3 linked regions of the Diceros bicornis minor genome follow. The protein of the gene in region 2 interacts with the protein of the main gene of each other region in a pairwise test. Links are inferred from orthologs where the notes say so. Each region holds a gene or a part of one and is shown on either strand. Other genes may lie near its edges.

What was found.
Region 1: the proteins of RABAC1 (region 2) and PLEKHF2 interact in binary tests that used the Homo sapiens proteins (3 or more experiments, as listed by UniProt). The two-hybrid records come from large-scale screens. The link is inferred for Diceros bicornis minor from reciprocal best matches to the Homo sapiens genes RABAC1 and PLEKHF2.
Region 3: the proteins of RABAC1 (region 2) and SYT16 interact in binary tests that used the Homo sapiens proteins (3 or more experiments, as listed by UniProt). The link is inferred for Diceros bicornis minor from reciprocal best matches to the Homo sapiens genes RABAC1 and SYT16.

Annotation. Positions count from the first base shown.
Region 1 is NC_080760.1:14,328,484-14,335,983, forward strand, and holds the start of PLEKHF2 (pleckstrin homology domain-containing family F member 2), read left to right. Parts: upstream 1-4,494; 5' UTR 4,495-4,712; intron 4,713-5,482; exon of another isoform or gene 5,483-5,627; intron 5,628-5,746; exon of another isoform or gene 5,747-6,002; intron 6,003-6,468; exon of another isoform or gene 6,469-6,641; intron 6,642-7,500. UniProt on the Homo sapiens protein: May play a role in early endosome fusion upstream of RAB5, hence regulating receptor trafficking and fluid-phase transport. Enhances cellular sensitivity to TNF-induced apoptosis.
Region 2 is NC_080773.1:17,247,398-17,254,276, reverse strand, and holds RABAC1 (prenylated Rab acceptor protein 1), read right to left. Parts: upstream 3,023-6,879; 5' UTR 2,933-3,022; coding exon 2,877-2,932; intron 2,580-2,876; coding exon 2,367-2,579; intron 2,067-2,366; coding exon 1,969-2,066; intron 785-1,968; coding exon 683-784; intron 609-682; coding exon 520-608; 3' UTR 356-519; downstream 1-355. UniProt on the Homo sapiens protein: General Rab protein regulator required for vesicle formation from the Golgi complex. May control vesicle docking and fusion by mediating the action of Rab GTPases to the SNARE complexes.
Region 3 is NC_080763.1:11,414,502-11,421,407, reverse strand, and holds the start of SYT16 (synaptotagmin-16), read right to left. Parts: upstream 3,007-6,906; 5' UTR 2,937-3,006; coding exon 2,408-2,936; intron 1-2,407. UniProt on the Homo sapiens protein: May be involved in the trafficking and exocytosis of secretory vesicles in non-neuronal tissues. Is Ca(2+)-independent.

The sequences.
Region 1 (7,500 bases), on a different chromosome or scaffold from region 2:
AGGTAATGTTGAGGAATAAGGCATTTGTTGTATAATTTCCCTCTACTGGCAGGGAAGGTAATGTGCAAATAATTTAGGAATTTTTTATAGAAGAAAGCAGCCATTGTGTCTTTTAGGGTATGAGTACTTGAATATGACTTATACCACTTCATTGAAAAACTTACCCATGACTATGCCTTGTGTGTTTTTTAAAAAAATGAAACAATACATACTTATTATAGAAGTTTAGTAAAATATAGAGAAGAAAAAGAATCATGCACAATACTACCAAAGATAAAAAATTAATATGGTTGTATATTTTATATGTCTTTTTTGTACAAAAGTTTACATATTTTACATGTAATTCACTAATCTAGCTGGAATTTATTTCGTGTACAAATTGATCTAGACTTACGTTTCTAAGACAGAGATGAGCATGAAACTAGTTCCTTAGTTTCTGATATGACAAATAAATGATATCCCTGTTAGAAATATGTAAACTTAGTTTGGAATGAGGCAAATTCCTGATCAATTTATATCCATTGTTGGGAAAATTCATAGGATTTTTGATACATACTAGGTTTATATGTTAAAACTCCCAAGGTCAAGATCAATCTCTGCCAAGAAAATTTGATTTGTTAAAATATGGATAAGCTTCTCTGTTTAAATTTAAACCTCATTTTTTGATTCTAAGGTAAGATAGCTTGACAGATGGTTAAATGAGCAGTAGTTTGAGTAATATGATTTACAATAAATCTTTCAAGAAATGAATTTAAGTGCCTGCCAAAAATCTTCTTGAATAACTCCCCAAGCTTAAATTCCAACTTCTCCAAGAGACATGTGCAATAATTTTTTTTTGAACAGATGTTATTTTTAAGAGCAGTGTGTGTCAGGTTCAGAGCAAAATCGAGTGGAAAGTACAGAGTTCCCATATATCCGCTCCCCACACGTGCACAGCCTCCCCAACTATCAACATCCACACCAGAGTGGTACATTTGTTACAACTTGTGCACCTACATTGACAGGTCAATATTACCCAAAGTCCATATTTGCACTAGGGTTCACTTGTGGTGGTGTACATTCTATAGCTTTTGACAAATGTATAATGACATGTATCCACCATTACAGTGTCACACAGAATAGTTTCACTGTCCTAAAAACTCTCTGCGCTCTGCCTGTTTATCCCTCCCTCCCAGCTAACACTGATCTTGTTACTGTCTCGCAATATTTTCAAGGGAACCTTCTATGTCATTTAATTGGGAAAATTTTCTAAATGATCTTCTAAGAGCTGACTATAAGGCTCTCTGATAAGACAGCATAGAACTATATTTCCACGAGTCCTGGGGCCTTCCTGCTTCAAAGCAAAAATTACTGCAATTTGGGGATATAGTTATAATCTGGGTTATTCTCCTTACATAGTGAATTTTTATAAGGAGTAAAATATCTGTTCCCACTTCATGCAGCCAGGATCTGCAGCAAATGTGATTGTGCCAAACTGGTCTGTAGGACACAGTGGCCAGCAAGCCACATGTGTCCTATATTTAAATGTTTAGAAAGACACCCTGTGTGTTGTAGGTTATTTTCCCATAGCCGGGGAGCATCTTGGCTGCAAGAAGAGTAAATTCACTTTTTGTTCACTGGGGAATTAGAAAAAAGCATAAAAGTATTATTTTTTAATCATATAGCTATCAGTCTGGGCCTATTCTGAGACTGGATATTTAAGACAACTATCCCAGTTTGTCTTGCTTTATTCAGTATAGTTTATTTAGTGCTTTTTTTTGGGGGGGGGGGGAGATCAGCCCTGAGCTAACATCTGCCAATCCTCCTCTTTTTTTCCTGAGGAAGACTGGCCCTGGGCTAACATCCATGCCCATCTTCCTCCACTTTATATGGGATGCTGCCATATAAAGTGCGTCGGTGCGCGCCTGGGATCTGAATCAGGGAACCCGGGGCTGCCGCAGCGGAGCACGCAGGCTTAACTGCTTGCGCCACCGGGCCGGCCCCTTTAGTGCTTTATTATATATATTTTTTAACTTTTTTCTTGGGGGGGAAATAATTTCAAACTTACAGTTTGCAAGATAGAAATAGTACCAAGAGCATCCATATACTCTGCTCAGATTGACCTAACATTTTACTCCATTTTAAAAATCATTTATATAGGTGGTTTCTCTCTTTTATATATAATATTTAAATTATATGTTATATATTTAAATTTTTTCTGAATCATTTGAGGGTAAATAGTTCAGTGTGTATATCCTAAGAATAGAAATGTTCTCTTATATAACTAGAACAGAAAATTTAACTGTGATACAATTTTATTTAATATTCTGTTCATATTCCACTTTTGTCAATTGACCCAAAAATGTCCTTTATAACATTCTCCCCTTCTAGTATAGGAACCAGTCTAGGGTCAGGTATTGTAATTAGTTGTCATTATCTCTTTTGCCTCTTTATTCTGGAACATTTCCATGGCCTTTTTTTTTTTTTAGAATATAGCCCCCATCCTCCCTTTTAAAAACAGGATATTAGTTTTTTTGGGTTTGTCTAATATTTTCCCAGAAGTCTAGGGAAACAGCCCCCAATGATCTGAGCTGCCTGTTTGAAGATATACTGGAGAATAATGGTTTCCCCTTTTCTTCTGCCTTTCAGATCTAACACGTGTCTCCCTTGGCAGAATTTAACCTGGAACCATTTAAGGAAAAGTCCTCTGGAAAATAGAGTTCTAGGCTTTCTCCCCGCAGCGCAGAGGAGAATGTAGAAAGGGGTGGCAATAAGGCTAAGTCGACCACTGACAAGGTGGCACACACTCCTGTCCTGTGAGGACCTGGGGATAGAAAGGCAAGAAGACAGGGAGCTCCTGCCCTCATGGAGCCTGCCGTCTCCAGGGAGATCTATAAGTACTGTGAGGGAAGCGCACACCCGCACTGTCTCAGGGCACAGAGGCCTGAAAGACGACAAGGGGCCACAGCTATGCAAAGGGCAGGATAGGGTGGGCTTGTGATTGTCTCGGTAGAGAAGCAGCCAGGGCAGTGGGCCCCATAGCAGAAAAGAGCTGGGTGTATTTGAAAAGTGACACAAGGTCAACGTGACTGGACTTGGGTGGAGCTTGGTATCTTTTTAAGGTGGAGAGGATGGCAGACGCTGGGTTGTGCTGGGTCTCATAGGACCTAGTGACCAGCTGGCATTTTGTTGTAAGTGAAACAGAAATGTTCCTACTCCATATGGCACCTTTGGGCAAATTAGAAAAAGGCATCCATTCCTCAAGGCGTTTCCATCTTGTTGGAAAACGGTTGTAAAATACTTTTATTAGAACAAGGCACTTTACTGAAATCTGCCAGAGAATATTTGTAATAAGTATAAAATTTTCAGTGCTCCAATGTGAAAGGACTCTTCCATAGCGTTGTTCTACTATAACTTGTACAATTGTAATTGGCAGCCCCAGTGGGGAGCCATGGAAGGGTTTCTGCAGGCGAGTGACACAATCCTATGTGGTCCCGAGTGGAGGGGAAAAGAGAGGAGGAGGCGTGTTTTAGAGGCAGATTCTACAATATGTTTGAGGAAAAGGGATAGGATGAAGGCGACGGAAGAGAGGATGGGATGGTGATGACTCGGTAGGTTTGCAGATTTCCACCTACATGTTTTGTTTGAGGTTAGTATGCCGTCCCCCCCGCCCCCCCCCATTCCTTGTCTATCCTAGGCATCTTTGGTATCTTCTCCACGTACCCAACAGCACGCTTAGCAAACAGCTGCTGTGGTATAAACGAAAAGGGCAGATTTAACCTTACATACTATCTTGCATTTTTCAGGTATGTGAAGTAGGTAGATGAGGTTTTGTGTCGCCAGAGATAAGTTTTGGAAAGACCAGAGTTCTAAGGCACAGAATAAAGCCAGTCGCTTAAAAGAAAGGGCTGCTAAGAAGAGTACCTGGGGGTATGCAGGTGTATTGCCACCGCAGCTCCCTCGGTTTCAAGAGGCAGGGGTTTTAGAGAAAGCAAATGGAAGATGTGACGGGCAGGATCGCCAAGGTAAGTGGAAACAGGAAACAAATATCTGCCTAGACGCCTTTGGGCATCTAAATCCAAAGCCTTTCCTTCCCGGCTGCGGAAAGTTCTTGAGTGCCGTGGAGATGCCCGTTCGGTGAGGAGGCAAAGGGGGCCTAGCCTTCCTTCAATTCGTCCAGTCTCCTACAAGAACTACGTAGAGAGATGAACAATCTTTTCCAAGAGCTCGCCGCAGCCAGGCGGGCCAGGTAAGGAGTCTCACCTGCACCCAAAGGGCGCCGGGGCACGCGGTCCCACACTGCGCGGAGGAACCAACCGCAGGCGCCAGCTGCCCAGGTGGGTGTGGCCTCCGCGGTGGCCCCGCCCCCTCGGGCGCGTCGCGCGGGGCGGCACGGGCGGGGCGAGGGAACAGGCAAGAAAGGCGGGGAGCGGGCGGTGTGGGTGTGCTCGTGCCCGCGCGCTGGCGTGTGGGCGGCGGCGCGCCCGTGCGCGCGCAGGGGAGCGGCCAGCGCCGGCGGCCGTTGTGGGGTTCGACTGGAGGGGCGGGGGAGTCACCTGCGAGCGGCTGCGCCGGCCGGCCGCCCGTCCGTCCTTCGCGTCTGGATCTGGCCGGCTGCGCGCGGTCGCGGCCGCGCACACCCTGGGAGGCCGGGGCGGGGAGCCGGCAGAGTCCGCGCCCGGCGCCTGGGACGAGGAGCAGTCGGACTTTCGCCGCCGCCCGCGCCTGGCCGGGTAGGTGAAGCCCGGGTTGGTTGTCCGCCGGCCCCTGGCGGGCCGGGAGAGGAGAAGCGAAACTTTCCGGGCGCTTCCCCTCGCGGTCCCTGGCCGTCGGCGGCGCGGGGAGGTGTCGTCGTCGCGGGCGGCGGCGGCGGACGCCATGTTGGGGTCTGTGAGAAACGGGGCGCTCCCGGGCCGCTCCCCTCGCGCTGGGGTCGGCCGGCGCCCGCCCGCAGGACGCGGCTGCCGCCGCCGGCAGGCTGCGGGGCCGCCCGGGGGTCCGCGCTCCGCGGGGCGGGGCCGGGCGGACGCGGGAAGGGGGCCCCGAGGTCGGGCGAGAAGTTGCGGGGCGTGAGGAGTAGGGATCCAGTCGTGGCCGGTGGCGTCTTAGGGCCCCAGCATCTCTCTGTCCAGAAAGTTTGCGAAGTCTGGGCGTCAGAGACGTTGTAACTCGAATAGCATATATTTATGTGACTTGGGGCAAAAAATGGCACCGTAGAATTTGCTCGGATAGGCGATGGCTCTTACACATTATTCATTTTGGAGTCTTTTGAAGTTTCATGGTCTTTTGCCGAATTTATTTTTCCTTTTTAAAATCTTTTTGAAGGCCGAGAGCTTGCTGCTCCCGTGGCCTGAAGACCCTGTGTGCTTGTGCACCACAGCAGTCGCTTGTGTGCGCGAGGGAAGGGGGTAGGGTTACGGGGACGGAGAACTGAGCCTTTCTCTGTGATTCACGGACTCGCCAAGTGTGGAAGTTTTTAAATGCCTTCTTTGTTGTGTTTTAGTACGTTACTGAAGAGACTCATTAAAGAAAGATTTAGACACGAACGTTGACTGAGGGACTTAAAGGTGTGTGTTGTTTTCTTAACAATAAGGTGAAGTGATCTTGACATTGCGAAATTTTTTTCCGCTCCCTTCGGATCCTTGAAGGTGCGTGCCTACCATGTTTTGAGCATTTACCTTTTTCTGTACTCTGGTAGCTCATGGGATCCTCAGGTTGATTCACAATTAACGAAGGCTTCTATTTTTATCTGTTCGGGTCCTGACAGCGCTGGAGAGGTGAAGAGTATTAAGTTACTTATTTGGAAAGCACATAGAATCGCCTCAAAAAGTAAAACTGATATACTGACCAAGGCATCGAAAAAGGTTCAACTTGAGTTACCCCAGTAAATGAATGTATATTACTATTTTTAAGTAAAGACATCTTCGCTTTAAAATTCTGTTAAATGAACTGAAAGGACTCTTAACCACAAATAAGGTCAACTCTAAAACATGTTTTGGAGAATTTCTCTTCTTAATCTACAGGTAAAAATATAGGTTTTGCTCAGATTTGATTGCTAATTTCCTTAAATTCTTAAAAAAAAATTCTTTTTGCTTCATTGTCAAGTAAATGCCATTATATATGTTTGTTTTTCTGGGTGAAGAGTTCTCTAGAAATGAGGTGACAGCTAACTTCACAAATCTAGCAGGCAAGCTGGTATTTAGCTGAGCTCTTATGACTCGGAAGCCTTCTCATTTTTCTTATAGCTAACTGTGTAGGATACATAACTCATTCCTGTGGAGCAGTCTCTGTCCACCTTGTTTGCTTTGTCTTTGCTGCTCTTTCCATCTTTAATTTTGTTCCTCAGTCTACTTATCTCCTAGAGAGCTGATTTACAAGGGTTCTTGTACTGAAATTTTTCCCCTTAAAAATACTCACTTAAGCTAACTGTACTCTTTGAAAAGCCTTTTCTGCCCTGTTCTCCTTATCCCACCCCCTTTGTCTCCCCAGGAATTGGTTCGCTTCTCCCATGGCATCTCCATACATATTACGTTGACCTGCCGTGGCACCCCCTTGACAGCAGACGTTGCATGGGGTCTGATTTGCCTCTCCCTCCCCAGTGTGCAGAGAACATAGCAGATGCTCAGGAAAGGTTTGAATGGATGAGTACACATATGCTCCTTGTAAATATACTTATTGAATTTCTTACTAAAAATTGCAGTTTCGATGGGCATAGTACTTAAATCTTCTCGAATCCTTTTTTTTTTAATTTTACATTGGTAACTCAATAAGTTTTGGCCTGGGGATACAGAACTTGCATGTTTATGAAATTTACAAGTAGATAATGGACTGAAGTATAATCAACAAAGCAGCAGCAGCCCTGGTTCAACAAAAGGATAATCATAATTTTAAAGTGCAATTGAATTTATTTTCACTGGAGGGAGATAGAGTTAATGCCTGAAAATTTTGAAGGTCGTGTTTATACATTTAAGCTCTTTGATAGAGCAAATCTCATTTCTTTATCAATTATTGTTTTGTCAGAATTCTCTTAGAATTTTGTTTTAGAATGCCTCGCTTAATGGAAAGCATATAGAAATTGCTTTTCTATTGATAAGTTTATCTTTGAGAACCAGCTTTGTACACAAGCTGCATGTTTCATAGCAATGTGCATGTTGGCGTAACCAAATAAAATATACTTCATAGATATGCTTTCAGAGGGCTGTTTTAAGTTGCAAGACCTCTCTAGGTGAAGGTGTTCTGTAATTCTGTAACAAAATTATTGTAGAATTTAGGGTTAATTCCCTGCCCAAGATGACTTTCTCTTCAGTCAATCTATAAACCACAGACTGGTGTGCGCAATTTGGGAGGTCCTGAGAAGAGAAGGCATTCAAGAAGTTGCTATGAGTGCTCGAGAAAGCAAGTTGCATGTAGGGTGGACTGGAACAAAAAAAAGCAATTCTGAATCCTAGTTCTGCTCCTTATTAGCTTGTGACTCTTGAACAAGTTTCTTCACTTCTGTAAGCTTCACTGGACTCATTTGTG
Region 2 (6,879 bases):
CACTGTGGGAGGACTCTGGGGAGCTCCCCTGGGTCCTCTGGACTTCCCAACGTGCCTCTTCTCTTGGCAGATTTTGCTTCCTAACCTTTCAGGCTAATAAATGACAGCTGTGAGCACAACTGTATACTGAGCCGAGTCCTCTCAGCAAATCATCGAACACGGGGGTGGTCTCAGGGACCCCCCAACACACCTTTTCTTCTCCGGGGTACTTATCACCATCGGCCATCCTATGATATTTTAGTTATTTATCTTGCTTACTGTCTCCCCCCTCCTCCACCCAGGCCCCCTCTCTTTTAGTCTCTGCAGTATCCCCAGCATCACTCCGCACACACCCACAGAGGACCCTGGGAGAATATTTGCTGAATGACAACTGTAACGGTTTTATTTCCAAAGCCGGAGTCCCTCCCTGGGCTTGTGACGAGAAGGGGGCCTTTGGCCGGAGCAAAAGAGCCGCGCGGGACAGGGCTGGACAGGGATGGGGCGGCTGGCTTGGAAGGCTGGCAGATCCTCGAAGACACCTCACACAGGCTCCATCTGCAGCTCTTCCCCGTCTACGGCCTCCGTCAGGTGGAAGGCGGCATGGGAGCCAATGACCACGAGGGTGGCTCCTGCAGGAAAGTGGGCAGTTTAGGGACATGCTCTCTCACCTGGCTCCCACCGCCCACCCAGACCCTGTACTCACCCAGGACCCAGAAGACGGCAGAGCCCGCGCCAGCCAGCCAGAAGAAGGGGAAGGAGACGGCCCCTGCCAGAGCGTACTGATGGGCTGGGCTCACCTCTCGGCCTGAGGGGCAGACGGCATAGGGGCATGCTGTTCCGGCACTCGGGCCCTCTCCCAGTCACCCCTGATGCCCCCCAAACAGGCTGGTGTCACGAGCTCCAGGAGCTAATCCTGGATTAGAATTTGGATCTAATCCAAATTCCTTATGCCAAGGAAGTCCTGGCCCCACCCACGTCTCCAATGTCCCCACTGTCTGCCAGCATAGAGCACACCTCCCTGAGCCCCCTGCCCTCTGCCCTGCAACCCCACTTCTGCTAGGAAGCTCCCAGCCTCCCACTCCCCCAGATGAGAGCTCTCCTGCTCCAACCTGCACTCAGGTAGACCAGGAATCTCAAACTGGTGGCCCAAGGGCCAAGTCTGACCTGTGGATGTATTTTTTGAGTCTGCACAATGTTCCACAAGAATCTGATTTGTGGCTGACAGAGAAACTGAATGACTTCACATAACAATACAGATTTCTGGCTTCTCGTGGCAGACTGGAAGACAGGTCTGCACACCCCAGCAGCAGCAGTGGCTGAAGCCAAGTCACAGCTGTGCTTTCCAGGCGCTCCTTCCATGCCCTGTGCTTGTCCCACATGTCCCTCCACCCAGCCCACCTTTGTCATGTGCATGACTTGCAGGCCCCTGAAGAACTCGGTCTCAAGTCTCCCTGTTTGTCTGATCCTAGCTCTTCCCTGTCCTTACTCTAAACCTTGAGCTTCCCCTGCGTGGGGACTCAGGCCTTTCTTCCCAATGGTGCTTGGTGCTAGTCTGGGACCACAAGAGCCAAAAGCCTCAGCTTCCCTCTCTGCGAAGTCCCAAGATCTTTCTGGTCTCATCCCAGAAGCAGGACAGAGGCAGGGGACAGATCTAGGCCAGTGTAAGATCACCACCTGGTGTCCAACGTGGGTACCTGCAGCTGATGCCTTCCACAAGTGACGGAGGAGAGAGAGGGGAAGCTAGCTTTAAGGGACAGGAGATAGGTGCAGAGTGAGTTTTGGGGCATCTCATTCTGGGTCTGGGGAACAGCAATTTGGGGGGCTGAAACTGGGTGGGAGCACCTGGTGTGTCTGAGATTTTAAGGGATCGGGTTTGGGGGACCTAGTGTAGATCTAGGCTTGGGCAGACAGGTTTGGGGTTTAAGGCTTTCCTTCCAAGAGACCAGGATTTGAGGCGTCAGGGATCCATCTGGGCAAGGGAGCTCTCACCAAAAAGCACAAACTTGGACTGCAACGTGCGCAGATAGAGGATGTAACAGGCGCCAAAGAAGACGGCCAGAGCCACCAGCAGCATAGGGGACGTCACCCTGGAGAAGGGCAGGGAGGCATCGGTCAGGCAGCTGGGGCTGGGCCAGCCAGGGAACCCGATTGTCTACACCAGCGGATGACAGGCTATGTCCTTGAGGCCAGGCAAGTCTAGGTCATGTTAGGTCACAGTGCGTCCCAGCCAGGCTGATGGGGAAGTAGGGACCTGGCCCTTCGGTGAAAAGGTCTGGCGGAGCCGTCCGGGGGGCGGGGCCGAGCAGTGCGGCCAGAGCTCTCGGTGGGGCGGGCCTGGCGGGCGGGGGGCGAGGGCGAGGGCGAGGGCGGGGCGGAGAGGCACTCACACGCAGTATACGATGAGGCCCAGGAACACGAAGACGTAGTTGCTCTGGTAGTACTCCACGTTGCGCACGAGGCGCTGGCACAGCTCGCCCAGGTTGCGGGGCCGCGAGAAGCGCCGCTGGTCCACGAAGGAGCCCCAGGGCCGGATGGTCGCGCGGCGCCGCTCCAGCCACTCACGGCCTACGCCGGACGGGATCAGTTTCGGCAGCAGGGTCCTGGTGGGCGGAACCGGGTCAGCGGCGGACCGGGAGGGAGCCCGGACTCATGAGCAAGATGGGGGCTGCGGGGGGCGGGCTCTGGGGTCCTGCGGGCGAAGGGTCTAAGACTCCTAAACCCTAGGGCAAAAGGGGGCTGAGGGCCCAGACTTCAGAGTCCCCGAAGAGTAGACCAGGGGCCTGGACTCCTGTGTCTGGGGGCCGGGATTCCTGGGGCCCGAGGGAGGAGGGGGCGGGGGCCAGAACTCCCGAGTGTCGGTCAGGGGGGCTACAGGGGGCTACAGCCGGCTTGCTCACGCGGCGCTCAGCCCTTCCGCCTCGGCATCCTTCTGCTGGTCCCTCTCGGCCGCCATGTCTGCGTGGTGAGGGGTAGAACCGCTGTAACGAGCCCCGGGCCCTGCGGACCCTGCCGGCCCCGCCCGAGCCCGGCCTCACCCAGCTGAGCCGACGTGGCGCCGCTCGGGAGCCGCTTGGGGCGGTAGTTCTGCGTTGAGCATTGTGGGAATTGTAGTCCTGATGCTGTCCGGCAGGGTGGGCGCCATGATGGCTCACAAAACACCTTCGGAGATGCTGTCGCATAAAGCGCCGGTGAGCGCCTCTGGGCATTGTGGGAATTGTAGTTGCAGAAGCGGCGTATGTGGAGTAGGGGGACGGTGGATTGTCCAGAATCGAGGCATTATGGGAACTCTGAAGGCGGAAGTAGACGTTGTGTACTCTCTCCCGTGCAGGATACAATGGGAACCGTGTAGAGCTGTCGTTCTGACTCTAAAGTGCATAAAAACAGCTGGAAGGTTTGATAAAACAGATGTTCTGATTCAGCAGGTCTGGGGTGGGGCCCATTAATCTGCATTTGTAACAAGTTCCTAGGTGATACTGAAGCTGCTGACCTCTGGACCACATTTTGAGAAGGGAGACTGTAGAGAATTCGCGAGAATCTGTTCCTTCCTTTCTTCCTCAAGAGACAGAGGCTTGTGAGAGGGCCATGGTTGCTGGAGCGGGTATCTGAGGTGGGGAGCAAAGCTGCCCGCACAACCCTTGGGCTGCCAAGGATGAATGGGTTAGGACTAAAGACCTAGGGACTCCCCCGTTTGAATGGGAAGGAGGGAAGTTGGGAAACGGAAAGGATTGAGAATTTTTTGAAGAGAGTTGTTATAATTAAAAGAGCTGGGACTCTGGAGTCAGGTGAAAATCCAGGCTGATGATCTCATCACCTCCTTGAACCTCAGTATCTTCATCGGGACAGTGGGGATGGATCCTGATGGTACCACACTCATGAGGTTGATGATTCAGTTAAATGGTCCATGTAAAGTGTTTAAAAGAGTCTTGATGCTTTATAACTGCTCAATAAATGGTAGTCAATGTTATTGCCACTACATAATCATGAATGTTATGATTATTTCTAGAGTTCAGGCTTCTCAAATTTAACAGTAACATATTAGGAGCTGCTGGCCCCTTGGATGTCCCAAAGAGTGGCTGGCATCACAGGCCTAGGGCTTTCTTTTCCCCACTTCCCACAGCTGTAGTTCTCTCTCAGTCTTTGCCCCTGCCCCTGAGTTAGTTGTGGGAAAACAGCTGGAGTTCTTAAGGAGTGCACCAGAACAGGGCCCCAAGAATGTGGGTGGAAGTGTCGGGAAGCCTGGGCTCCCTTACGTGGACTGAGGTCCTAATTTTCCAAGGCTGAGTGGGGCTGAAGGAGAATATCCACATGGGATATCCAAATGACTCAACCCCAACTCTCCCAACATCCCTTTTGGGTTTGGGCTTTGAGGCCTGCTGGAGGTGGGGAAGACGGCCCTGCCAAAGGGGCTGGTGGAGCAATAGGCGGGGAGGCCCCCTGTGGGGGTCCCAAGCTGAAGCTGAATGAGCCACACTTTGAAGATCAGATTGGCGAGTTACTCTTTATTTCCCCTTTGTCAGAGTCAGCCTTTTAGTAGAATCTTGTTCACGTTTCCCTCTTGGGTCTCGCCTGGCATCATGAAATCAAAGGAGGGTGGTGAGTGCAGTTAGCTCAGAGCGTTAATGGGGGAGCAGCATTAACTGAGTTCAGAGTGATGGGGGCAGCAGAGGGAACCAGAAGAGGCCCCAAGAGGAAGACAAATCTTGGGGAGCAGAGAGTTGGAGGCAGAAGTCCATTTGCCTCCTCCATGGCCAACCTTGGAAATTGGGGGTTTGACTTTTGCTATGAGAGCCATTGGGTTTCCTTATAGGAACTCAATCAAAGCAGTTTCACTCCATAACCTACCAGGACTTGTTCCGAGCAGAGGACATAATGGGCAAAGGGCTGGAGGTGTCGAACAGCATGAGTTGTGGGCAGTGGGGTCCAGAGGTAAGGACATTGTGGGGAGGGTCCCTCTGAGAAGGACATGGGGGGAACTTTGACTCAGGGGATTTTGGGAGGTGGGGCCTTGGCACAGGGCATTGTGGGAGAGGAGCCCCTTGAAACAGGGATTATGGGAGAGGGGACCCTCAGGCAGAGATATTGTGAGAGATAGGAGGATCCCTGAGACGGGGGGATGGTGGCAGGGGACACCTGAGAAGACTGTGGGAGATGAGCTCTGGCCCTGTGGTCCCTCCAGCTTGAGGATCCCCAGAGAAGTGGAGCTGGAAGGGTGGGAAGACCTTAGCATAGACAATCAGAAACCTGGGTTATATTCCTGCTATGTGACCTCAAGGAAGTCTCTGCCGTTTCTGGGCCTCAGTTTGCCCACCTCTATGGTATTTCTTTCCCTGCACCTGATAAAGTAGTTTCTGTGGCCTCCCTAGGAGAGGTCCAGGCTCATGAAACCCCTACTAGGACCAGGCTCTGTCCTGGGCATCAAGAGCATATCTGGTGCACGTGGCTCCTGCCTTCTGACAGCCTTCCCCCCTCAGGTTTGGGTGCTCCTCCCTAATGCAATGGGCATATGCACACACTCATTCACACACAAGCTCTCAGCATCCCAGACATCTGTGCAGGGAGGTAGGCAGGCCAGGTCCAGCCCCAGGCCTTCCTCTGACTCACTTCTCTGGGCTGTGTTAGAAAGGCTGCCTCAAGGGAAGTGGTATAGCTGCCCAACCCGAATGGCTAAAATTCAAAAGACTGATAATACCAAGTGTTGGCGAGGATATGGAGCAAATGGAATTTTCATACACTGTAGGAATGCAGAATGACACAAGAGCTTTGGAAAGAGTCTGGCTGTTTCTATTAAAGCTAAACATAGTCCATCCCCTGACCAGCAATGCCACTTCTAGGCATGTACCCAACAGAGATGCATACACGTATCATCAGAAGACATTACTAGAATGTTCTTATTCCTAGCAGCACCAATTGTCATGGCCCCCAAAGTGGAAACAACCTAAATGTCCACCAACAGGAAAATGAATGAACAAATTGTGCTATAGTCACACAATGGAATACTACGCAGCAATGAAAAAGAATGGGTTACTGATATATGCAGTAACATGAATGACTATCACAGACGTGATGTTGAGGACAAGAAGCCAGACACATGAGACAAAATGCTGTAAGATTTCATTTATGTGAAGTCCAAGAACAGGCACAACTAAAGGATGGTGACAGAAATCATATCAGTGGTTCCCTCTGAGGGGGGTGGTGCTGACTGGAAAGGGACAGGAGGGAACTTTCTGGATGGATGGACATGTTCTTTACTTTGATCTGGGTGCTGATTACATGGATGTAATTTTTAAAGTCATTGAGCTGTGCCCTTAAGACTTGTGCACTTCACTGTATGAAAGTTTTTCTCAATAGAAAGAGAGAATAACACAGTGACTTAGAGCTTGGACAGCCTAGGTTCAAATCCCGGATTTGTCACCTTTCAGCTGTGTGACCTTGAGCAAGTCACTTTCCCTCTCTGTGCCTCCCATCTTGTAACGATTAAAAGAGCTAATACACATAGAGTGTTCAAGAGAGAGCAGAGCACAGACTGGGCGCTCAGTGACTCACCATCATCATCATGGTCACTGTCATTGTCTCCCTGGGGTCCTACTCCAACGTGAGAGGATCTGACTCCCTCCCTCTCCCCTGTTCTGATCCCATAATCCCATCACCTGGCGAATTCAAGCTGCTTCCACTCTAACTTTCGTGAGTCTAAAATTCCAAGATTCGATGACTCCGAGATTCTGTGACTGCCAAGCCCGTGCCAGGCGACATTCCTGGGATCGTGTGAATCACCCGGCCGTGTGTGCCAGCACAGGGGACGCCATCCTGCCCACACCCCCGCTTCAGAAAGCAAACACGACACACCGCCTCTCTCTCCCCACTGATATATTTGATAATTGTCCAGAACCAGAGATGGCATCA
Region 3 (6,906 bases), on a different chromosome or scaffold from region 2:
CAAAAAACCGAGACCAATGGAGAATTATCTCCCAACGTGAGCTATCGCTACACATGAGAACGGCTAAAACAATTTTCTTAATATGAACAACACCACCAAGTGCTGGTGAGAATATGAATGACTAGAAATCTCATACATTACTTTTGGAAATGCAAAATGGTACTTTGGAAAACAGTGGAATATTTTTGATAAAGTTAAACACATACTTTCCACATGATCCAGCAATTCCACTCCTAGGTATTTACCTAATTGAAATGAAAACATATTCACACAAAAACCTGTTTTGCAAATGTTTATAACAGTTTTATTCATATTGTTAAAAACTAGAAACAATCCAAATATCCCTTAGTTGATGAATAATCAACAAACTATGGTGCATTCATGCAATGGACTACTATTCAGCAATAAAAAGGTCAAACTACTGAAACACACAACAACATGGATGAACCTCAAACACATTATGATAAGCCCATCATGAAAGAAGCCAGACTCAGAAGCCTGCATGATTCCATTTATATGACATTCTGGAAAAGACAAAGCGATCAAGACAGAAACTATATCAGCAACTGCCAGGAGCTGGAGGTAGGGGAAAGGACTGACTGCAAAGGGACTTGATGGAATTTTTGAGGTGATGGACTGTTTTATATCTTGATGGCGGTGGTGGTTACAAGACTGTGTGTGTTTGTCAAAACTCACTGTGCACTAAGAAGGATAGATTTTACTGTATGTAAGTTATATCTTTAAAAAGGAAAAAAGAGAGAGAGAATATGTATAAATTCTAGAATCAGACTGCCTGAGCTCTGCCTTTTTCTAAATGTGGATCTTGGGGATATTCTCAAACTCTCTAAGCATCAATTTTCTCAACTGTGAAGTGAGAATAATAATAGTATTTACTTCTTAGAGTTGTTAGCTTTCCTTGTTGGTGTTCCATCATTAATCATTATTTGATATCCTATTATATACACAACATTGTGCTTGATACAGTTAAGGATGCAGAAATGAGTCTGTGGCACGGCCCCTGCCTTCCAGGAGGCTGCAATCTAGTGAACAAACATCTCCTGAATGGACAAATAAAAACAATTGTTTTACTGCCATTAGATTATTACAATTACAAAAATTAACAAAAGCCAGTGTTAAGAAACTATTAGGCCAAAATCATGTTAATAATTTTAAATAAAGTTAACTTTAGCAAGAATTTTCTAAAATAGAAATTTCAAGTCAAATCTAAGAAATCCTATTGGTAACCTAGATATTTCTAGAATTATCTCTACAGATAATTTTAAAAGACTTAAAATTTCATTTATTTATAGTTTATCAGCTTCAGAAAGAATATCAGCCTATCTTGTCTTCACCGATTTATTCTAGCATTTCACTATTACTTTGAGTAAGAGTATCAAGAAAGCATTATGAAAACAATATGAAATTATGTATCCTCATTTACCAAGACTTCATGTAACTGGATAAAACATTTCCCTAAAAATATAAAGCTAAGAGGAATCATGGAAAATGGATGAAGAGACTATGAGGTATTCCAGAAAAGTCTGCTCCCTCCAACAAGAAGAGAATTAATGACTTCACCTTTACATCACGTAAAAGACCCAATAATCTGTGTGACCTATGTATGCGTTACAACACATCACATATACATACCAACAGCTCTCTTTGCATATCATGTACCTCTCTCCCTCGACCATGAGAAACGTCCTTATGTCAGGCTTACAGTATTAAAGCATGAGAAATTCATGCCAGAACATACTATAGCTCCTTTTACAGAGTTAATCATATTTTCACCATATTCATTATACATTTATTGAAGGTCCATTAAATGCTCAGCTCTGACAGGATAAAGCTCCATAGGCAGTTTGTTTTAAACGTGTCCTTTCCATTCAAAGCTAAAAGAAAATCAAGCTATTCTTATTCCAAAGATTTCCTATCTACTGTCATTTCACATCACATCTCGGCGACACACTGTGAGAAGTGTTCTTGGAGTGTTATCAACTAAAAATTTTGCAACAAGTACGGCTTTTTGCACAGGATTTCACACTGAATAATATAGTAACATCTAGAGATTCCTAACCTAGTAAAAAAAAGGAGAATATTTTTAAAGATGTTTTAAAAAGCACAACATATGCAGAGGGGCTTCTCAACACAACTCACAGACTCATTTTCACCATTTCATTTGCTCAGAACTATTGCGTTGGATTATGGAGCTCACAAACAGATCTTCCAAAGTTTTATATATTGAAAATATTTCTAAGGATTACATCTCTCAATAAGAAGTCAGTATGTATAGAAAGTATAAGGAAGAGAAAAATAAAATTCATATGATAACTAAGACAAGTCAAAGTAAAATGAGTAGAAATGTCCTTTGGGAGAACCCAGAGAAAATGATCATTGGCTAGCTTACCTTGCTTTTGTCCATTAACATTTTCTAAAACACCAGAGAGCTGGCTGTCAAAGCTGTGTTGAAGGCCACTCCTTTGCTTTTCAAGGTGATGTTCTTCCTCAGCAATAGAAGGAAGCACATGTGGTGGCTTTTGGTCATCAAGGGTCTGATTGGGCCACTGGGACATTATGGAACATGAGTCCTTTGTATTTGCGTGTCGGCTAAGTCTGGGGCTTGCACTTTGGGGAGAGTCCTGCAAATCACTATTACAACAGGAAAAATGATCCACTTCAAGAAACAAAGAATTTGCATCTTCTTGACTCCAATCATTGCCTTGTTCTTCATCTTCAAAGTAAGTTTCCTGAATCTGAATATCATCTAAGTCCTGGTCTAGCTTGTCACTCAATTTAGAGTCTTGTTTGCTCAAGTTAACCAGCGAAGCAGATAGTGTATCTCCTGCTTGCTGGAGAGCTTCATAAACCCGAGATATCCAGGAAGAGAGAGGCTGGAAGAAGTTCTGAACTTCCTGAGACGCCATGGCCAACACCATGGCCAGCTATTTGATGTCTACAAGTCCACTTGTTCAGTTCCTTCAGCACTCTGGACTTAACGTGAACTACAGAATAAGCAGGATGAGAAATTAAATTGGAGGTCTCTTAATGGCTGTCAATATTTCACTCTCAAAACTTCTCAGCTGAAACAGAGGAAAGAAATACTTATACCTGTTAAAGTTACAACTTCAGACTCATCACCAGATACCTACAATCAATGCCAAACAGGATTTGGAGACAAAAAGAGATCATCATTGAAATCTTAAGGCAACTAAATAAAAATGACTGTGAAAGTCTAAATGTATTTCAATGCCTATTCAATTCCACAGGCATGTGCAAAATTTCCATTAGCAGTAATGGGCTCTATTCACATGGACTGAGAGAAGTCTATCCCCCATAGACCATACTTAATAGTGTGAAAAGGATAAATGAATCTTCATTAAGAGGCACTTGGACATGACATTTCAAATACAAGAAAGGTTGGATGCTTCATCTACGAACCTGCAGATCCCAGAGAGCAGGCTAATAAGCATCTCTGCTTCATGACACGCAGATTTATCCTTTCAAAGGAAATGGGCTCCTGGAATTCAAAAGCTTTTAACAAATCTTAAAATAGGCTCTTATATCTTTATGCAATTTCTAGAAATTATATCTATTCTTGGGAAGCAAACAACCAGTGAAAAACTGAGGGTGGCAAGTGGATTATGCAGCTTCCTGGAGACATGTCCCTAGCACGTTGTTTCCTTTGTCTATGTTCCAACCTGCCAAAGTCAGCCCCCCGACAACTTGTGAGACTCCTGAGAGAACTTCTTCCCACAAGATTCAAACCTGAAGGAGGCAGCTACAGGCCATCAACCAAGCAACAGGGCATGATGAAGACTTTGGAACTCAATATCTATACTTTTACATATATATATATGCATACAAACATATACTATGTATACGTAGGCATACGTATGTGTATTATGTGTGTGTGTATGTATCTTACTGCCTTTACATTGCTCATCAACAGCTCAGGATGAATGTTATAAATGACAGCAGAGCCTAAATTCACTACCTGTACTTTACTCCATCTCTTTTATAGCAATAGCTTCCTTCTGACCAAATCTACCAGCAGTCCCTTACGGTTCAGCCCACTTGACCTCAGGCTTCTGCATTTGATATGACTGCCTACGTTCTCCTAAAAATCTCTCTCTAGGTTTTGTGACAGCCATTCATGCATGCATTGATTCATTCAAGAAACAAATATTGATTAAGTGCTGGGCAAAATGCCAGGTGTAAGATAACCCTGAGGTCTCTGTCCCCATGGAGCCCACATTCCAGTTAAAGGGAAACTGAGCTCTCTGCACTTTCACCTTATCCTGAATAATTCATGTGTCTGTCTTTCAGGCTCTTCCTTGTCTTCCCACAAACTACATATATGCAACCACTCATTGTCCTGTGGTTTCTCCTCCTCCCCCTTTATGCTCATCAGCTGGGAGAGCTGATCCATCTATAAGTCTCAATTAACACTTTTTTTTTTAATTCCAAAATATACATCTCCAGCCCTTAGCTCAATCCCTCTTTCCAGGCTTGCATCTCTCATTATTAAGCCAGTGGTTCTCAAACTCGGCTGTGTCAGGATCCCCTGATGAGCTAATAAAGAACACAGAGGCCCAGGCAGGTTGAAGGAATAGGCCCTGGACCTTTGTATTTTTGTCAAGTTCCCGGGGTGATTCTAACACTCACCAAAGTTTGAGAAATGCTGATCTAAGGAAGTAATACACACGGGCATCTCACCAAAATCTCAGATTCAGCTCATCAAAACCTAGCACATCCCATTTGCTACAACAGGTGTTCAGTACTGGACTCACAACATTCTAGGGGCTGTGTATTTCTCTCTTCAACACTTCCCCCTTGGGCCAGCCCCGTGGCTTAGTGGTTAAGCGCATGCACTCCGCTGCTGGCGGCCCGGGTTCCGATCCCCGGCGCGCACCGACCCACCGCTTCTCCGGCCATGCTGAGAACGCGTCCCACATACAGCAACTAGAAGGATGTGCAGCTATGACATACAACTATCTACTGGGGCTTTGAGGAAAAAAAAAAAACATTTCAGAAAAAAAAAAAATACTCCCCCCTTCCACTCCTTCCGTTCCAAGTTCTGCTAGTTTGGGGTCTATGAATTCTTTCTTCCATTATGTTTTGTCAAGTGATCATCCTTCCTCACACTCTAATTTCCTCAGATATTCCACACGTGGTCAGTTTCAGTCTCTAGTCTTCCCCACCTCAATCCATCCTCTGGGTTTGCTCACCATAACCTGAACTTGAACCAGGTTTACTGCCGTCTCCTCCCCTAGAAAGAAATTTCCATGGAGGGCAGAGATTGTGTGTTTTGTTCTCTAGTTTATCCCCAGTGCCTAGAAGTGTGCTGAGCACATGTTAAATTCTCAACAAATGAATTAACAAATGCCATTTAAAATAGTGCTTACATCAGTGTCCAGCATATAGTATGTACTCAAATTTGTTAAGTTGGTGGATAAAACCTACTCAGAATTGTTGAAAAGCTCTTAATGTCACTACACAAAGCCCCTGCTTGGTAACATTAAAGAGTTCTTTCCACATTTGTTCCACTCCATTTCACCACTCACAGGTTTTTGTTTGTTTTTTTCTCCACAAATATTTTGCTTAGGTTAATATGCTTCAGGGCACCACAGACCTAGAAAGTTCCCTGACAAATCACTGGGTTTAGCATCTACTACTGTCCTTTAGGTACTTAAAACTTTTTTTTTTTTTTTTTTGTGAGGAAGACCATCCCTGAGCTAACATCCATGCCCATCCTCCTCTTTTTGCTGAGGAAGACTGGCCCTGGGCCAACATCCATGCCCATCTTCCTCCACTTTATATGGGACACCGCCACAGCATGGCTTGACAAGCGGTGCGTCGTGGCGCGCCCGGGATCCGAACCTGCGAACCCCGGGCTGCAGCGGAGCATGCGCACTTAACTGCTTGTGCCACCGGGCCAGCCCCTAGGTACTTGAAACTTTTTAAAACAGAAATGGTGTATCTTCCTTAATAATTCAATAATCCTTTCTATTGTTTTATTATACAGAGAAAATTTTGTTTTCACACGCAACCCAAAATCTTTGAATTTAAGCCAGCATTTTCTTGTCCAATCTTTGAGCTTTAGTAACTGACTATGCTCTCAGTCTCATGGTCTCCACGTCTTCTGTAATCTCGGTTCATCAAACCCTCACGGCAAATTTTCTAAAAAGTAAATCTTACATCACTCTCCTAGTTTAAAAAAAAAAAACAAAAAAACCATCATGGCTTCCTATTTCTTATACTGCAAAATTTGAGCACTGGCAAACATTCATTTATATTTGTTGATGCAGAGTTTTTAAAAAATTAATTTTAATGCCTCAGTTGACTACAGTCCTCACCTCTCCCTGTTGTTTATACCCACTTGCTTCACGCATTTCTGTGTAGCCTGCCTGATCCCTGGAGGCATCTGAATTTTCAAACCCTTACCCTATAGGATAAATTTCATGTTCTTTACCATGGCATACAAGAAGAGAGATGCTCAACACATTTAACAATCAGCACCCATCTAACTGGCCTTAGTGCTAGAGGGGTGCTAAGGGCCTCCTGCTAGATGTCAACTCTTTAATTGCTGAATCACTGGTGTGAGGAGATCTGGGGGTGCAATAGGACAGTGGGAGGGGCCACTGTCTATTTATCAACCAGCTTAGAACTATTTCAATATTTTCACAACTCACAGAGCCCTATCTTTGGTCCTGACTGAAGATTCAGCTTGCATATGTGCTGTCCCCACAGTGGGGACTCAGCCATTCCTCACCACTCCTCACTAGAAAGTCCTATGTGCCCGTCATGCTAACACACTAAGCCTTTTCCAGAGTGACTGTGCTCTTTCCTGACTTCTATTTGCTCTGCCAGGGATGCCTTGTCTCCTTAGCCTGCCTGGTAAATACT